Rattus norvegicus: one gene and its partners. The protein of the gene in region 1 purifies or fractionates together with the protein of each later gene. This does not show direct contact. Links are inferred from orthologs where the notes say so. Each region holds a gene or a part of one and is shown on either strand. Other genes may lie near its edges.

Evidence for each region.
Region 2: the proteins of Srpk1 (region 1) and Drosha purify together in Homo sapiens (affinity purification with mass spectrometry; 3 studies listed by BioGRID and IntAct, counting the BioPlex papers as one, with this or other methods). This does not show direct contact. The link is inferred for Rattus norvegicus from reciprocal best matches to the Homo sapiens genes SRPK1 and DROSHA.
Region 3: the proteins of Srpk1 (region 1) and Top2a fractionate together in Homo sapiens (co-fractionation; 3 studies listed by BioGRID and IntAct, with this or other methods). This does not show direct contact. The link is inferred for Rattus norvegicus from reciprocal best matches to the Homo sapiens genes SRPK1 and TOP2A.

The regions. Positions count from the first base shown.
Region 1 is NC_086038.1:6,680,471-6,686,511, reverse strand, and holds the start of Srpk1 (SRSF protein kinase 1), read left to right. Parts: upstream 1-2,676; 5' UTR 2,677-2,753; coding exon 2,754-2,766; intron 2,767-3,127; coding exon 3,128-3,188; intron 3,189-3,501; exon of another isoform or gene 3,502-3,724; intron 3,725-6,041. UniProt on the Homo sapiens protein: Serine/arginine-rich protein-specific kinase which specifically phosphorylates its substrates at serine residues located in regions rich in arginine/serine dipeptides, known as RS domains and is involved in the phosphorylation of SR splicing factors and the regulation of splicing.
Region 2 is NC_086020.1:63,589,399-63,595,593, reverse strand, and holds the start of Drosha (ribonuclease 3), read right to left. Parts: upstream 3,617-6,195; 5' UTR 3,544-3,616; exon of another isoform or gene 3,540-3,543; intron 2,493-3,539; 5' UTR 2,382-2,492; intron 1,556-2,381; exon of another isoform or gene 1,512-1,555; intron 821-1,511; 5' UTR 772-820; coding exon 755-771; intron 1-754. Other genes in the region: C2h5orf22 (UPF0489 protein C5orf22 homolog), read left to right, coding at 3,940-4,020, 4,802-4,947. UniProt on the Homo sapiens protein: Ribonuclease III double-stranded (ds) RNA-specific endoribonuclease that is involved in the initial step of microRNA (miRNA) biogenesis.
Region 3 is NC_086028.1:84,469,186-84,475,390, reverse strand, and holds the start of Top2a (DNA topoisomerase 2-alpha), read left to right. Parts: upstream 1-2,297; 5' UTR 2,298-2,406; coding exon 2,407-2,427; intron 2,428-3,477; coding exon 3,478-3,630; intron 3,631-4,179; coding exon 4,180-4,270; intron 4,271-5,000; coding exon 5,001-5,064; intron 5,065-6,205. UniProt on the Homo sapiens protein: Key decatenating enzyme that alters DNA topology by binding to two double-stranded DNA molecules, generating a double-stranded break in one of the strands, passing the intact strand through the broken strand, and religating the broken strand.

The DNA of each region.
Region 1 (6,041 bases):
CCCTTTTGCTCAATCGATTTTTCTTTCAGGAATGCTTGACATCTCCTTCCCCACCTATGGAAATCCTACACATTTCCCAACACCCGCATCGAACGTGGTGGCCTCCTCCCTGCCGGGACCGATCTGCCTGCTTTGCTAAGGAGGTTGTGCCTGGGCTCCCAGGCTTGGTCTGTGCTCCTGAGTGCTCGCTATCCATTCCCAACTGATTGATTGCTCCTCTGTCTTCCCTCCATCACCCCCTCTTCTTCCTTTATTGCACGTAAATGTGAGTGCAGTATGTATACCCGTGTACGTGTTCCCGTGTGTGCGAGCACAGTGGTGTGCACCGCATGTGTCCATGTGCCTGTGCATGCAGAGGCCTGAGCTTTTACACTGCTTGTCTTCCTTAATCATTCTCTACCCTGTTGAGGCAGGGTCTCTCTTTGAACCAGAAGCTAATTAACTCATCTAGCGAGCCAAGATCCCTGTCTCCAGCAGGCTGCCTCACCTACCCAGCAGTTATACAGGCTCTGGGGAATCCACATGTCAGGCAAGAACGTTACCCACTGAGCCAACTCCCTAGCTGGAATATAGACATATACATGACACTTGAAAAGGCTTCGGGGGCTGGAGAGATGGCTCAGTGGTTAGAGCACCAACTGCTCTTCCAGAGGTCCTGAGTTCAATTCCCAACAACCACATGGTGGCTCACAACCATCATGGGATCAGATGCCCTCTTCTGGTGTGTCTGAAGACAATGACAATATATACATACATACATACATACATACATACATACATACATATATATATATATATACACATATATATATTATGTCTTCTTGTTCTTTTAAGTTTTCTTCTCTTTTCTTTCTTTCTTTCTTTTTTTGTTTTTCTAGGCAGGGTTTCTCTGTATAACTCTCCTGGCTGTCTTGGAACTCACTACGTAGATCAGGATGGCCTTGAACTCAGAGATCCACCTACCTCAGCTTTGCAAGGGCGGGATTGAAGGCATTTGCCACCATGGCCTGCTGAAGATTGATTTTTACATATATGCATCTGTGGGTTTGTGAAAGTGAGTGCAGTGGCCTACAGAAGCAGGTCTCTATCGGATTCCCCTGGAGCTGGAGTTACAGGTTACTGTGAGCCCCGGGAAGTTTGTAGAGAACCCAACTCCAGGCCTCTGCAGGAATAGTTTGTGCTCTTAACCACTGAGCCATCCGTCCCGCATGTGCTCCCTATGAAGCATGGTCTCACTTTGTAGCCCAGATTGGCTTGGAGCTCGCTGTATAGCTCAGCGTGGCTTGAGACTTGCAGCAATCCCCTTGCCTCAGCTTCCTGATTACTGGTTGGAATACTAACATCTGGTTTACCCAGTGACTTTGTAGCTGTATTCTGGGCAAGCATCCTCTCTTTGCTAGCTGAGGCCTGAGCATGGGGGAAAAAAATCATGCTCAAAAAAGATCAAAAGGAGACTGTTCTGAAACATGTGTGAAGTATATAAAATTCAAATTTCAGTGCCTACTAGTAAATCTCCATAGCGGCATCCACGTCTATGCTTTGGAATAAATATTGGGGTCCAGAGTGCCTCGTGCTCCTCCCCCACCCATTTCAGAAATACCTGCTGATTCTACTTACTCTAAGGGTTTTGATGCCTGAATCACTGGGTTGGTACACCACGACTCTGAGCATACACCCTTTCCAAGTTCTCATCTTTCCGTATTGGGGATAATAACTACCTTGGCCTGCAATTAACATCAGCATCTAATAAGATCATGCACTTAAACAGTATGGAAACACCCTGTAAGTTCTACGATGAGGAGATAAAGTGATTCGAGGAGAAAACAGAAATCTCGTCCACCCCCTTCCTTTAAAGCTTTCAACTTATGGCTTTCAACTTTTAGAGGGAATTCCCTTTTGGAGTGTTTGCGTTTACTTTTAGAAACTGTTTTATTTACTTATGGGCGAGGGGTTGTTGCCTGTGCCTTGACTCCGGTGTGCAGCTCAGAGGGCGACCTGAGAGAATCCAGAATCGAGTCCTCTCGATTCGCGGGTTTGAACTCAGGTCCTCAAGCTTGGAGGTAGGCCCCTTTACCTGCTGGGCTGTCTCCTGTTCCAGTTCTTATTGATTTATTTTTGAATCAGGGTCTCATTATGTAGTCCTGGCCGGCCTAGAACTTGCTACCTATACCCACGGGCTTCGAACTGATACAGATGCACCTGCTTGTGGAGTGCTGGGATTAAAGGCATGGGCTGCTGGCCCAAGGTTTTATCTTCAAAAGATGACAACGGCACACGTTCCCTCCCTCCCTCCGGCCTTTGTTCTGTGTGCATCCACATTCGATTGCAGTTTCCCATTTTCTTTAGTGTCTTCACCGACCCTCACAACAGCTCAGGGAGGAACTGGGACATGTTTGGTCAATCGGTTTTGCAGGCCGGGCAACTGAGGCAAATCCCGACTGACTGCGGGGCCCTGCCCTTCCTCAGGAGGTAAGAACTTCTCCTCGATGCAGCTCGTTTTATGGCGGGGGCACTAGAACCAGCTTCCTTTTCAGGGTCCCTGGGTCCCCTGCGCTCCACTCCCGCACTCCCCGAAGCAGGTGGTAGGCTCCGGGTCTACTACGCAGGCGCGCGACGCCGTGCAGGGCGTGGCTGGGCGGGCCCGGAGGCGGGGCCGGCGCGCGCGGTGAGGGAGAGCTGGGATTAGGGCCGCGGCGGGAGCCCGAGTCGGCGTCACTCGAGTGCGCAGGCGCCTGGCGGTTACCGGTCTCGCCATGGAGCGGAAAGGTGAGCGGCGGAGCGGCCTCCGCCACGAGGAGACACCGCGGCCCCCGAGTGGGCGCCCGGCGCCTCTTCTGGCCGCAGTCGCGGCCCCCGAAGCGGCGTCACCCTCGCCCGCTCGCCCCTCGGCAGCGCCGTCCTCGGGCGCCCGCCGTCCCCGCCCCTCGTTCCGCAGCCCCCAGGCCGGGGCGGCGAGGCCTCATGGCCCGCCCGAGCCTCTGCGGGCGCGCCGGGCCTGGCAGCCGCCGTGCACTCCGGGCAGCCCGGCCCGCGCTCGGCCGGCACAGCCTCAGGCCCCACCGCCCTGCGTCCTCGCGCCGCTCCCCGCCTCCCTCTTACATCGGCCCTTCATCCTTCTCTCCCGCAGTGCTCGCGCTCCAGGCCCGAAAGAAAAGGACCAAGGCCAAGAAGGACAAAGCCCAAAGGAAGTGAGTCTTGTACCCCAACATCCCGCCCTTTGCGTCTTCTCGGGGACCTCCTCCTCCTCCTACCGGGTCGGGCGCCTCGGAAGCGCACTGGGTTCGGGCCGCTTCCCCCCAACCCCACCCCGCCACATGGCTTCTGAGTCGCTGTGTGATTCGCTCTCCGGGAACCATGTGGAAGGGAGCTGGGTCTCCAGGCCCCGGTCTTAGCAGCTCCCCAGGCCTGCTCAGGAAAGACCCAGAGCCTGCCCGGCACCACTCCCCAACTCCATCGGGGAGGCTCAAGTGTGGGCCGGCGGCCGGAGCTGGTAATCATTACCTGCCTGTGAACTCCTCTCTCCCCGCCTTCTTCCGCAGCGTCTTAACCTTGCCTCCTACGTCTGTCCGCACGCTCTGCCATCAGGAAATTGTTGAATGAATTTTTCCCTGTTTACCCTTGGCCCTGCCAACCACACGTTTGCCTGGGTAGAGGAGGGTGGCCGGCAGTCTTCCTTCGCGCCTGATTAGTCTACTTCCTAAGTCTTCGAGGCGCGGTGTGTCGCTGTCCTCTCGGTTGGGTTGTGCAGGCTGGCTGCGTTGTGCACTACCGGTGGGCGTGTTATCTGAACGGAGTTAGTGCAGTAATGTCGAGAGACAAATTGCTAGTCCATTCTGGCTTGAGCTACACTTGCCAAATTTGTTAGTGATGTTGGGGGTGCCTGCACAAAAGAGAGCACAGCTTGATAGAAACGCACGGGCTGGAGTCTTCAAGTGAGCTTAGCTGCTGCCACCCCTCATCCCCCCCCCCCCCCATTTTTTTTTTGAGACAGCCTTGACTGCCCTGAACTCACTATGTAGACCAGGCTGTCCTCGAACTCGACATCCTCTTGTCTCTGGCTCTGAGAATCCTGGGACTAAGGGACGTGTGCCACCAGTGCAACTGTGGGAGCACTGCCACTGAGCTTAGAGGACAGCTTTAAGGATGATCTTGTACTCAGATTTAGTAGCAGAGGCTCCTCCAGGTCGACTCAGAAAGATCTCTGCCCAGCACTCCATTTCAGATGAATTATTTTCCGTGGTTTTCCATTTATCTGGTATTTTGTGTTGGATGCCATCAAGCTGGGTCTGCACTGCTATACCACACATTGGAGGTCTTCCTAGGTCACCCAGAAAGACAGTACCAGATCGGGCTGAGTGTTTTTGGAGGCTCCCTGATGTTTAGGGAGGCTGTGTCATGACTTCTCTGAGTGGGACCAGAGCATTTCCTGTGGTGTGCCTTAGGAAGTTTTTAAGTTTGCACAAGGTGTGGGGCCGGTGCGAGTGCTCAGGTTCTTGGGTTGGCTATCCATTCACAGACTGTCCAGCACGAGTTTTTAATCCCACACTGATTGGTTAACAAACGGCAGCAGCTGGAATCTCAGCACTCCTTGGGGAAGCCATGCGAATGTTTTATGTTTTCTGGTGGGAAAAGGAAATGATTTACTAATCACTTAAAAAGTTTTTTTTCCCCCTCATATTTTATTTTTGGTTTTTCTCCATGTTCCCTGGCTGTTCTGGAAGTCTCTCTGTGGACTGCCTCTGCCTCGAGTGCTCGGATTGAAGGCCTGCACCGTCACACTTGGTTTAAAGGGGTTTTGAAAAGACGAGCGTCTCACTATGTACAGCCTAAGGTGGTCTTGAACTTGGGGTGATCTTCCTGCGTCAGCCTCTACAATGACAGGATGACTAGTCTTGTGCCATCGTGCCCAGCTGGCTAGTCACCTGTGTTTTGGTCTGTCCTGTGTAAGACATGGCATCTTATTTAGATATGAGGTTGAGCACTGTCATGGGGCAGGAGAATGCAAGTGGATGGTCGCACATGCAGCAGAGGTTCAATATTTCATGTGGTCGAGGGTGAACATGCGGTGTGTGTGCATGGGAATGATGTGTCAGAGGCCAACATTACAAGTTGACTCTGTCCTTCTCTGTGTAGGGTTGAACCTGGGTTCTGGTGGCGAGAATCCTACCCACGGATCCATCTTGCCTGCCGCACATGCTTGTTTCAAAAGCAGACAGACTACCTTAGTGTTGGGTACTCTTATTTCTCTCACTACTGCAGGCAACTTGGAGTTGTCCGTGCTCTTAGTTCTCCCTGTGCTTACCCCTACTTTACTGAATATAATCTTGCCTCCCCCTTGTTTCCCAACCTCTTTTTTTTTTTTTTTTTTTTTTTTAAGATTCATTTATTCTATATAAGTACACTGTAGCTGTCTTCAGACACACCAGAAGAGGACATCGGATCTCTTTACAGATGGTTGTGAGCCACCATGTGGTTGCTGGGAATTGAACTCAGGACCTCTGGAAGAGCAGTCAGTGCTCTTAACCGCTGAGCCATCTCTCCAGCCCCCAACCTCTTCTCAAGTAGTTAAATTGTCTGATTAATTAATTTGGGGATAGTTCTGTGGCAGAAGCCCCACCTGACCTAGGTAATGACTCTGCTCCTGACAACTTTGCTATTTTTCAGGCAGAGGTATAAGCTACCAAGAAGCTGTTAGGAAGCCTGCCATAGTTTGGTCTTCTGAGTAAGGGGGTCTGATTCTGAGATCTGATTGTAGACCGACTTGGACTTACAGGTCTATATTTGAGTCACTCAGCCATAGTGACAAGCAATCAGGACTAAGCAATATAAGAAAATAGTGTTCACATGTACAGGCTTAGAGGTTCTCAAGTGCTCCCCACTATGCAGCCATGGTGTGGCACCGAAGGGCAGGATTGTCCTGATGCTGTGGACTGCCTGTAAACCAGACCCCCAGCACTTGGAGCCGTGGGTCACAGTCAGAGCTGGCGGCTGGGCTCCTGCTCCAGAGCATCGTCCCTTTGGGTCTGTGCTCCAAGGTTAAG
Region 2 (6,195 bases), on another chromosome or scaffold:
GCTTATAAAAAAAAAAAAAAAAAAAAAAAAAAAAGGGCTGGGGATTTAGCTCAGTGGTAGAGCGCTTACCTAGGAAGCACAAGGCCCTGGGTTCGGTCCCCAGCTCCAGAAAAAAAGAAGCAAAAAAAAAAAAAAAAAAAGAGTTCTACATCTTCATCTGAAAGCTGTTAGTAGAATACTGGCTTCTATGAAGCTAGGACTAGGGTATTAAAGCCCACGCCCACAGTAACACGCCTACTCCAACAAGGCCATACCTACTCCAACAAGGCCACACCTCCAAACACTGGCATTCCCTGGGCTAAGCATATATAAACCATCACAGTAACTACAAAAAAGGTCTGTAAGCTAATCTAACAAAATCTTTTTATGAAATGAAAGAGATTCATTCTATAAATTCTCTAACTCTAGAGAACCCTGAATAATACACCCGCTCTTATAACACTCTGCGTGGCTTCTTAGCAGGTCCTGCAAGCGTCACAGTCCACCAATAATTATGTAGGTCTACCTTCAATGCCTATGTGACATCAAGAACTGCAAGCTCGATCAGGGGAGGCCTCTAGGATGTTTCATTGACTCTTCTGGTCTGGCTCCTAGCCCTCCACAAAAATCTCTTAACAAGTGATGACCACAGATAACAGAATGAACACAGTCCCTGCCCTTCCCCTGTATCTGAAACTTTCCCATCCTCTCTGGCCCACTACCTTCCCCCTCTCCTCTACTCTCTCGAAACTGCCATTTCCAGCATCCCACTTACCACGTATTGCCTTGCATCTCGAGGTACACTGTAGATAAGCTACATCTTCCGCTCACAATGTAAGTTCTACAAGACAGAAAAGGTTTAAACACATTTCCAAAAGTGCCAGTGCTTAAAAAAAGTGGGGGAGGGGTATGGAGGGGGTTGTCTTGGTTTACGATTATCAGTGATTTTAAATCCTCTAATGCTCTTAGTCTCTTACCAAATCAGGAGCATACTGAGCTATGGTCGATTTTCCAAGCAAATTGCTGTCCTTGTTAGTTGGGCAGCTGTGCTAACCCAAAACTAGCCATTGCTAAGGTTTGGTAGAAGATTGAAGGAAAGACTTCCTCCATCCTCCACAGACAGAATTCCCTTCACTGTAATATAAAGTAGGCATAAAGCTAACCCAAAAACCCCAGTGAAACCTGAGTCTAATTCAAATAGAGCCACAACCTGACTAAGAAACAACCACCATTCTTTACTTTCATCCTCAGCTCTTCCCACAGAACACTGCAAACACGAATGAACTTACACACACACACACACACACACACACACACACACACACCACACAAGGCTATCCCAGAACTGGGGAGGCAGAAACAGGCAGATCTCTGTGAGTGCAAAGCCAGCCTGGTCTACAGAGCTGGAGCTCTAGGACGCTCAAGGTTTAATGTAGAAACATCTTTCTAGGGGCTGGAGAACAGCTCAGCAGTGGAGAGCACTTGCTGCTCTTGCAGAGCTCAGTTTCCAGCACCCATGCTGGGTGACTCACAGCTGTCAGGAGATCCAGTGCCCTCTTCCAGCCTCTGGAGGTACCTGCACACAAGTATACATACAAATATGTAGGCTAGTGGCTCTCAACCTCCCTATTGCTATGACCCTTTAGGACAGTCCCTCATGTTCTGGTGACCCCCCCCCCAAACAACCATAAAGTTATTTCATTGCTACTTCATGACTGTAATTTTGCTACTGTTATGAATCGTAATGTAAATATGTGATAGGCAGGACATCTAATATGAAACTGCTGTGACTTCCCATTGATAGCCAGCCATTGTTGGATTAGGTGGATCACAGCGTGCAAGTCATTCTAATAAATCCCCTTTCTATACATGTAGATTCATTCTGTCAGTTCTTTCTGTAAGTTCTTTAACTCTAGAGAAGTTACAAACACACACACACACACACACAAACATACACACACACAAAAATAAAATTTTTAAAAATGTTTGTCTCTATCAAACTTACATATATATATATATACACATATATATATATACATATATATATATATATATGAGCTCTATCAATTACTGCTTAATAAACAATAGCTACCAAATAATAGGATCAATGATTGCTCCTTGGGATTTGAGGCCCTACAGAAACTGAACCCAATCTCTCCCGGGCTATCATCTTACTTCCTTCTCCACAAAGTCCCTGTCAGCCCATAGTTTCTGGATCACTTAACATACCAAGCACTATCATAAAACTTTTTCGCTTCCATTCTCCCTAACTTGTCCAATGAATTCCTAACCATCCACCAACCTCTTCTTGTGAAGAACTCCTGACTTCCTTTGGGAACTCAATCTCATCCCTTCTAGGTTGCTACTACTTAGTGTATACTCACTTCTTTTAGGGAACTTACCAGAATCTGCTGTATGTGACAGTCACGTGTGCCCATGGTGAACTCCTCCAGCATTTACTAGATCCTTGAAATCATGCGCTCATTCAGTCATTCCTGCATCCTTCACAGCCTCTGCACACAGTAAACGGCAGGCAAGTTTTAATCTCCCTCATTGGGTATGTCTCTAAATCACTAAGTTTACATTTTCATTCTATTCCTCCCACAAATACACATTTTCAAAACTACCTGGGAAGCAGACATATTCGGAAGCAGACATATTCACTGACTCCATCACTTACTGAGACAGCATATGTGGGACACTGTCCCAAACTCTGTAGACTCAAAGATGGGTAAGGCGCACAAGCCTGCTGAGTTCAAGGATCGCAAAATCCACATACAAATGTTTATATAATAATAATAATAATAACAACAACACAACATGTCCCAAACACTTTAAAAGGAAAAATGCAATGTGATAAATACAAGAAAATAAGGATGTAGAGAGTCCAGGAGAACAAAAAGGACTGAACTGAAGCTAGAGTTGGACAACAGTCAGGGGAATTAACACCTCTCCACAGTGTAAAAACGGAACGGCATACTCCGTTAGAAAAGCTAGACAATACTGTACCACTCACTGTACTGTGGATGCAAAGTTTAACTCAAGTCAGTGAGTTAATGCAAGTGGGAAATACCTATTCCTGGGAATGCCCTTTGAAAGCAGGGAAACCGAGGGAGCTATTCTGAACAGTTTACTTGTCCAGGACCGGCGATCGACACACGAGGGTTGCAAGGTGTGTCTAGAAGTCGCTGAAACCCCGCACTTTCCCCAGGCTGAACCTGCAGCCCGGCCTCCTGCAGGACGATGAGCAACTGCATGTAGTCTAGTTTGCATCTCCCGCCAGCCTGCGGGGTTAAGTGCCAGACTCCGGGACTCGCCTCCCACTGGAGCCCGGGCCGCCCCGCGCCTACACCACCGCTTGTGCTCCACAAATAGATGAAAGGCATCCCATCCCGCTGCTCCACATCAACGGGATCTGTATCTCTTTCGCCCTGGAGGCAGATCTGCCCCGAAGCTGCCAGACCCAAGCTCCCAGGATCGTTTCGCTCAGTCCCGGACTCCATTTAAATCCCGACCCTCGATTCTCGTTCTCCGAACGCCCATCACGCGCCCCGGTTTACCTACAGATAGTACCGAGGTCGCCGCCATCAAAGCCCAGCCTGGTTACTATAACAGCCTCCACGGCAGAGGCGCCACCCCGCGCCTCCGGAACAGGAAACCCCGGGAATTAAAAAGCAAAGCCGAGAAAGCTGGGCCTGGGGAGGGAAAACTCTCCGGAGCGCGTCGCAGCACCTTTTGTGCTGTGATTGGTAGATCAGAGAGAGTGACGGACGTCTAGTCCAATCGACAATGTCTACAGGTCTCACACACGCCCCTCCACCTTGTTGTCCTCCAATCCGGAAGCGCAACCGGGTGAGCGCGCGTTTCCGCCGCTAATGGACCGTGGGGCGCGCGGCTTGGAGGTGCTGGGCTCCTCTCCCGGGTGTCTCAGAGTCACCGCGGCCTCGGTCGCGCGGAGACATGAGTGACACGGGAGGCGACGGCGCGCGCCTCAGGCGCTATCCCAGGCTCCCGGTGTGGGTAGTGGAGGATCACCAGGAGGTGAGCGGGCGACGCAAGCCACCGAGCCCTGGCAGGAGGGATTCGAACCCCGGCAGCCTGCAGAGACTTGACCAGCACCTAACGCTGGCGCAGCCTGTCCCCCTGCCGACGTCATCATCCTACCGTTTAACGAGGTTACCTACGACCTGAACCCGCGGCGGTGAAATGGGTCCCCAATAATCGTAGAATGTATTATAGGGCTGTCGCTGAAGACGTAAGCCTTAGCGTTTATTAACGTTTTATATGGCAGTGCTTCAGTAGACTTCTGGAAGACAACCAAGCAAGTCTAGATTTGTTTATGGACCTGTGGAGAGTCTCTGGATATAAAACAAAGGGGATCTAGAGTGAACGAAGCTCAGTGGTACAGTGCTGGCCGCAGATCTTGGGTTCAACCCCTGTCCCCAGGAAAAAGTGGGAGAAGGTTATTTACTGATGGAGAAAGTTGGAAAGAAGGTCTATCTCTGAGAAACTCAACTTTGGGTTAGTCTGGCTTTTAAATTTGGTAGTAAACTTGGATGTATAGCGAGTAAGAGGAAAAAGTCATCTAGTCTAGCACCACCATCCTAAAGGGACAGAAAATGCCCAGGTACCTGGAACACAGTTTAATACTAGAGTACGTGGTTCTGGACTGTTGGGTGATAAAGATGGAGATTATCGTCAGAACCATCTACCATTTTTGTATTTTCCCACTTCAGCAACTTGGTGCACTTCAAGTTGATGCAGTTTTTTCTTTTGTTTTGTCTGCACTTGACAAGTGTGTATGCGTCTGTCTCTGTTACAGGTTCTGCCTTTCATATACCGGGCCATAGGTTCGAAGCATCTTCCTGACAGTAATATACGTTTTTTACACTTTGACTCCCACCCAGACCTCCTTATTCCTGTGAATATGCCGGCAGACACTGTGTTTGATAAAGAAGCACTCTTTGGGTAACATTTTTTTTTATCATATTTTATGTATTTGAAATACAACGTATAACATGATAAACAATAGATTCTGCTACACTCATGTTTGGGTTTTTTATTTGTTTTTGTTTGTTTGCCCTTTTAAATTTTAGTTAGAACATTTTTTTTAACTAACTAAAAGAGCCAAAATAAGGATCGAGTGCAGTGGCTGAAACCTGTGATCCCAGCCCTTGGAATGCTGAGGCAGAAGAATTACAGTTTGATGAGAGCCAGGGCTACATTGTAGCCTCTTTATGGTTAAGTGTTGTCAATATTCTTGACAGAAGTCTAGATTCTTGGCAGAATCTAGAATTCTCTGAGAAGTGGCTACAGGGCTTGCCTGTGAGGGATTATCTTGATTGGATTAATAAAGGCCACTCCCTAGGCATTCCTATATGTGAGTCTATGGGTCCATTTTCATTCAACCACCACACATTCCTACCCTTGATAACCAATATCTTAGTGTATCTGGCTATGTTTGTGTGTCCACTTGACATAAGCTGGAGTTATCACAGAGAAAGGAGCCTCCCTTGAAGAAATGCCTCTGTGAGATCCAGCTATAAGGCATTTTCTCAATTAGTGATCAAGGGTGGAAGGGCCCATTGTGGGTGGTGCCATCCCTGGGCTGGTAGTCTATACCCAAGTTCTATAAGAAAGCAAACTGAGCAAGCCAGTAAGTTATATCCCTCCATGGCCTCTGCATCAGCTCCTGCTTCCTGCCCTGTGTTAACTCCAGTCCTGACTTCCTTTGGTGATGAACGGCCACGTGGAAGTGTGAGCTGAATAAATCCTTTCCTCTCCAACTTGTTTCTTGGTCACGATGTTTGTGCAGGAATAGGAACCCTGACTAAGACACTGCCACTGGGGCCAGACAAGGCAATTCTTTCATTTTTGCCCTTGCAAATGACACCCGGATTCTCCATCTGTTTGATTCAGTCCATTGCTATGTGCCATTTTGATTGAAGTTTATGATTAAGATTCGTGCTCTTACAAAAGTGATTAGAAAATGAGATAGTATTTTCAATACTAATTCAGGTAAGTAATGTTCTGACTATTCTTTGATCCTCCACAAGCTTACAAAAGCTTGGCTGGAATACAGACTCCAGAGGTTCAGTCCTGTGTCTAAATAACCAGTTAATTGATCTTTCAAAGACAATTCATTTCAGAATTCAGTGCTTTTCCTTGAAGCAACTGTTGTACTTCACGGTCTACAGCAGAAGTTTTGGTGCAGCC
Region 3 (6,205 bases), on another chromosome or scaffold:
GTACCTTTAACAATGGGTAACGTCATGTGGGGAGGGGGCTGAGGCAGAAGTTATTTGGGGGCTGGTTAGTGGAGTGGTTGCCTAGTATGCATGAAGCCCTGTATTTGATCCTGAGCACTGCACTTTTTTTTTTTAAGGTTTATTTATTTATTATATAGAAGTACGCTGTAGCTGTCTTCATGCACACCAGAAGAGGGCATCAGATCCCATTACAGATGGTTGTGAGCCACCATGTGGTTGCTGGGAATTGAACTCAGGACCTCTGGAAGAGCAACAAGTACTCTTAACCACTGAGCCATCTCTCCAGCCCCTAGCCTTAACCCTTAGGAGGCAGAAGGGAAAGAATCAGTCAGAGGTTCAAGAGCATCCTTGGACACAGCAGGTTTCAGGTCCAGTTTGGGATACCTGAGGCCTGCAGGGGTGGGAGGAGTGACTCTGCCTTCTGAGATTTAGAAAAGACCAAAAATCATGATCCAGTTGAACTTGTGGGGAGACTTTAAAGCTCATGCCTCTCATCTCCACTGAAGCTGTCCCAGAAAACAGGATTGAAACTGCTTCCTGTGGGAACTGAATTCCTGTGGCCTCATCTCCAGGTGGAGCCTGCAGGCTTCGAGCTGGGATGAACTACAGGACAGAGGACAGGAGTGAAAGGGCCTCCTTGAGAAGCATAGCCACCTGGCTTCTGTGCTCCAAGAGAGGTAAAGGTAGCTTGCCTGGCTTCTGAATATCAAGGAAAGCTGCAGAGAATGACAACCCTGGATGTGGCACCCACAGCCTTGTCGGTCTTCCGACTGGACAGAAGTCCTAATTGCTGAGTCCCTACTGGCCCTAAGCATTGAAGTCAGCCTCCTTTATTAACACACAGGATAAGGCTGAAAACACTGAAGAGAAAGAGAAAGACCAGAATAAGATCAAAACTCTATTCCTTTGGTTTTCCTATCATCCAGGCCACATTCCTTCACTGACCTTCTCTTTCATTTGCCAGTGGGGTAATTGTTGGACGTGTGGAGTTATTTAATAATGGTTGACCCCGGGCTTCTTTTGGAAAGGAAAAATATTTTAATTCACCAAATTCGTTGCTGATAATAGCTAGCTTTTTTTTAGGGTGGTGGTGGGGTTAGAGACAGGATTTCTCTATGTAGCCCTGGCTGCTCTGGAACTCACTCTGTAGACCAGGCTGACCATAAACTCTGAGATCCACCTGTTCCTGCCTCCCAAGTACTGGGATTAAAGGTGTGGTGTCGCACACTAGCTTCTTATATTTATCATTTCTGGGTTTGTTTGTTTGTTTGTTTGTTTTTAGCACAGGAAATTGAAGCTTTCTCCATCGAGAACCCACCAAGCCCCAGCCTCCCATGTCAAACTGAACAGCGCTCTAGACTGCATTGTGCGCAGAGGGCAAACATAAAGAACACTTGTGGGTTCCCTCACCAGCTGAGGGAGACGTTATGGTCTCATGACCGCTTCTCATCTTCTCCACTGAAGAAGCACGAATGAATCTTTTTATCAGTGGTGATCCACAGGGGATGTTAACGCTGTCTACGATTCTACTTGGTGTCTACTCTTTCTGTATGGAAGGCTAAGTCCACAGCGGAAGAACTTTACAGAATTTCTCCAGAGCTAACCCAGTGCGTCTCAACTTCCACTTCCTAAGGTTGCAGCCCTTTAACACAGTTCCCTTATGTTGTGGTGCCGTCCTATCATAATCATTCCATTGCTATTTTATCACTGTAATTTTTGCTGCCGTGACGAATTGTAGCGTAGTTATCTTCTATAGGATCCCCCTCAAAGGGGTCACGACCCACAGGTTGAGAACCGCTGCCCCTCGTCAACCCCGCGAGAGAATGGGCGTTGCTTCCTTGGTCAGAAAAAAAAAAAGAAAAGCAGAAAAGCACATCCCAGGATTAGGAGAGAATCTCTGTAATCTCAACGAATCTGAAACAAAGAATGCGCATCCGTGTTCTAGTTTTACTCAGGAGGACAGTTTAGTCAACCGCTTTGCACTTCCAAAAAGCCTTCTCTCTTCAGAGTATCTCTCAGAGCACACAGACCCTCCTCATTGGTCAGATTTCCTGTCAGTCACAGTTACAATTGCTATTGGTCCATCTTGAGGTTTCTCCCGCCTCCCTTTACCTAATTGGTTCATTCGAAAAGGCCGCCTGTTGAGTAAAAGACCTTTGTGAGTAAAAGACCGTCTGCGATTGATTGCTGTAAACAGAGCAAATGAGAGCGAGTCGGTGATTGGTTCCTCTGATTTGGGCGGGCTAGATGAATGTTCAAATGAAACTAGGGAAGCTCTCCTAACCGACGCACGTCTGTGGAGAAGCGTCCAAGTCGCCGGTCGCCTAGCGTTTCTCACTGATTTTGTCGCTTTTAGGATTCTCGAGCCCCTTCAGGACGGTCACCATGGAGTTGTCACCGCTGCAGGTACAGCTCGCGGATGGGACCGGGTAGTAGAGCCTTTACGCGGCTTCTGCGTTCATGGCGGGTGATGAAAGTTGAGGCTCCTGGGCCGAGGGCTGGCCGGCGACGGGCTAGGATCTGGTCAACTCCATCTTCTGGGCCTTGAGGGGTCATGGACAGGGTGAAGCTCTTTACGAAATGATATCGATAATCTAATCTGGGTTCTTGAGTGTCGTGTTTTTATTGTTGGTGGGGGCAGGTTCAACTCGTCCTGTGATCGGTCTGTATTCTAATAGCCCCAGGGTGACTTCCAACCGGCTTATAGTTGAATTCGATGGCCCACTTTCCTTCCCTAGTTGATTTGAATAACTCATCACGGAAGGTGCAGAACATGACAGTTCCCACTGAGGAGCTGGCTGACCGAGTGGCTCAAAAAAGTCCTGTTTCAGGATGTGAATGTGGCCAAGGGTTTGCATCCCTAGCATCCCAACTGCTACGGCTGGATAACACCACCATCTGCAATCTGCACGAGACTGTGTGGGCACTCAGTAAACATTTTTCCATTAGATGAAAGAAGTTGAGTGTAGTTTATCGATGACATAAAAATATTATTCAAGGCAGAAATGTCCATACTTGGCTGAAATAAAATACTTATTTAAACGGGCACCTGTAGCCAGACCTAGTGGGGCAGGCCTGGAATGGCATCTGCTCCAGAGACTGAGGCAGGAGGATGGCTTAAGCTACCTAATGCGACACTATCTCAGAAACAGCAACGGGGTTTTGAGAAGCAGGTCTGGGGAGTTTGCTCAGTGGTCAGAGCATTTGCCAAGCACGTGCATGCAAGGAAGGCCTTGGGTTCCATCCCCAGCACCACACATACACAAACCACAGAACCTAGTTCCAAGGATTTTAATTGAATTGTTTGTTTGAAACTATGCAAACTCTCCCGGTACCTACAAGCAGAGGACAGATTGTGATGCAGTGTATTGACTTTATCATAACTGCAGATACTTTGTTGGCCACTTCTGATAAGGTTGTAAAAATCAGTTTATTTTTGCTTCCCCAAATGACTAGCCTGTAAATGAAAATATGCTACTCAACAAAAAGAAGAATGAAGATGGCAAGAAAAGACTGTCCGTTGAAAGAATCTATCAGAAAAAAACCCAACTGGAACATATACTGCTCCGCCCAGATACCTACATCGGCTCTGTGGAGTTAGTGACCCAGGTAAAACCAAACTAGCTTAGTGCACTTGCTCTATAACACGGCATACTGTGTCAGGTTAATGTTTCTTACTTTACTTGGCGTCACTGGAACTGATCCTTCATTGATGCAGATACGGACTCTGTGCGTGTGTTTCAACATTTATTCTAGAAGACTTTACTCCTGAATGTATTGGTGCAGGCCTTTAATCTCAGCACTCAGGAGTTAGAGGCACATGGATCTCTTGAGTTTGAGGCCAGCCTGGTTTGTGTAGCCAGTCTCTGGCCAGTCAGTGCTACGTAGTGAGACATTGTCTCAGAAAAGGCAAGAATATTAATGTCAAACAATAAATAAATAAATAAATAAATAAATAAAAAAAACTAGTGAGACACTGTCTCAGAAAAAGCATGAGTATTGGGGTTGGGGATTTAGCTCAGCGGTAGAGTGCTTGCCTAGCAAGTGCAAGGCCCTGGGTTCCGTCCCCAGCTCCAAAAAAAAAAAAAAAAAAAAAAAGCAAGAGTATTAATGACAAAACAATAAATAAATAAAAATAACTTTCTTTGCCTTTTCTAGCAAATGTGGGTTTACGATGAAGATGTTGGTATTAACTACAGGGAAGTCACTTTTGTTCCTGGTTTGTATAAAATCTTTGATGAAATTCTAGGTAAGTAAATATTTTTATATAAAGATCTCCTGGTTAAGTTCCTAGGTATCATGCATACCAAACCTTCTGTAGACATAGCCTCTGCTCCTGTCATTTCAGGTAATTAGTGGTCAAAAGTGAGGCAGTCAGGCTGCCTGTGGCAGTCACGTCTTTAATCCTAGCACTTGGGGGTACAGGTGCACAAATGTCTGCATTTAAAATTGGCTTGAGGGGTTGGGGATTTAGCTCAGTGGTAGAGCACTTGCCTAGCAAGTGCAAGGTCCTGGGTTTGGTCCCCAGCTCCGAAAAAAAAAAAAAAGAATAAAGTCGGCTGATCTACGTAGTGAATTCAAGGCACTTAGACCCTACCGCCAAAAAGGAAAACAGACAAAAAAAAAAAAAACCAAGATAATCCAAATAAAGTCCAGAAAGTTAAGTTTTTCTCTGGAAGTAGTACTATGAACAGAGATTGGTATACTAAAGCAACAAGGTGTTAATTCCAATGCCCAGGAGAAAGATGCAGGAAACTCAAAAGTTCAAGGTTATTCTTCACCACGTAGCAAGTTCAAAGGCAGCATGAGATGCGTGTGATTCTGTCTCAATAAAAACTGCTGTAAACTAATGCCGTGTTAATGTTGGGGTTTTGTTTTGTTTTGTTTTTTGTTACTTGTGAATGTTTTTCTTTATTATAGACCTAGTGTGTTGTAAAGCACTTTAATGCCTTCTAAGTGTGTATTTTATTTTCTTACAGTTAATGCTGCTGATAACAAACAAAGGGACCCAAAAATGTCTTGCATTAGAGTCACAATTGATGCGTAAGTGAAGCTGTCTGTGCTAGTGCTCCTATTCTTGTGCTTGCTTTGATTACCGTGAAGATAGCTTCTTTAAAATTAATGTTTTGGGGGCTGGAGAGATGGCTCAGCGGTTAAGAGCACTGACTGCTCTTCCAAAGGTCCTGAGTTCAAATCCCAGCAACCACATGGTGGCTCACAACCATCTGTAATGAGATCTGATGCCCTCTTCTGGTGTGTCTGAACAGCTACAGTGTACTTATATATAATAAATAAATAAATCTTAAAAAAAAAAATTAATGTTTCAGGGGCTGGAGAGATGGCTCAGTGGTTAAGAGCACTGACTGCTCTTCCAGAGGTCCTGAGTTCAATCCCCAGCAACCACATGGTGGCTAATGATCCAATAATGAGATCTGGTGCCCTCTTCTGGCCTGCAGGCATACACGGATGCAGAGCACTATACATAATAAATAAATCTTTGGGGAAGAAAAAGGACTGAGTGTAGCTTGGTGGTAGCATGTGTGTAGTCCAGACCCAGGACTACAAAACCAAAAAGCTTACCAGCTGTGGGTGGTATATACACTTCATCCCTTCAGGAAGAGGCAGAGACAGATATCTGCATACCAGGCCACCTAGAATTTTGTGGTGAGACCCTGTCTCAAAACAAAACAAATTTCCACAGTTGCTCTGAGCCATTTCAAAATAATTTGTAGACATTATGCTTAACCATGCAGTGAGACAGGGCAGGATGTCGGCTAACATTTGCAATAATTATTCTAGTCATCTGAAAGTCTAGAAGGGTTTGGGGTTTTTGTTACTGTTATTTCCTTTTTGATGATGCTATTGAAACAGCAAGCCAGCAGCTGGTAGTAGAGAATAATTTGGGTTTATATTTCTGGTTTTAAATGCGAGTGTGCCTGATCCACATTTTCTATTACCCTGATCAGTGTGATGTAAACTGTTTAAGGCTCCTGGAGGGGGTATGTTATTGATGACCAAGTACTTGAGTACACTTAAGGACTTGATAACGATCTTTTCAAGAATGTTGACCTAGTTTTAACTGATAAGTTTTTTTTTTTTTAATAATATTAAACCAGTATTCTGAGAATTAACCCAAAATAAGATAGAAGTCCAAGTAACTGAGCCGGGGACATGGGTCAGTTTC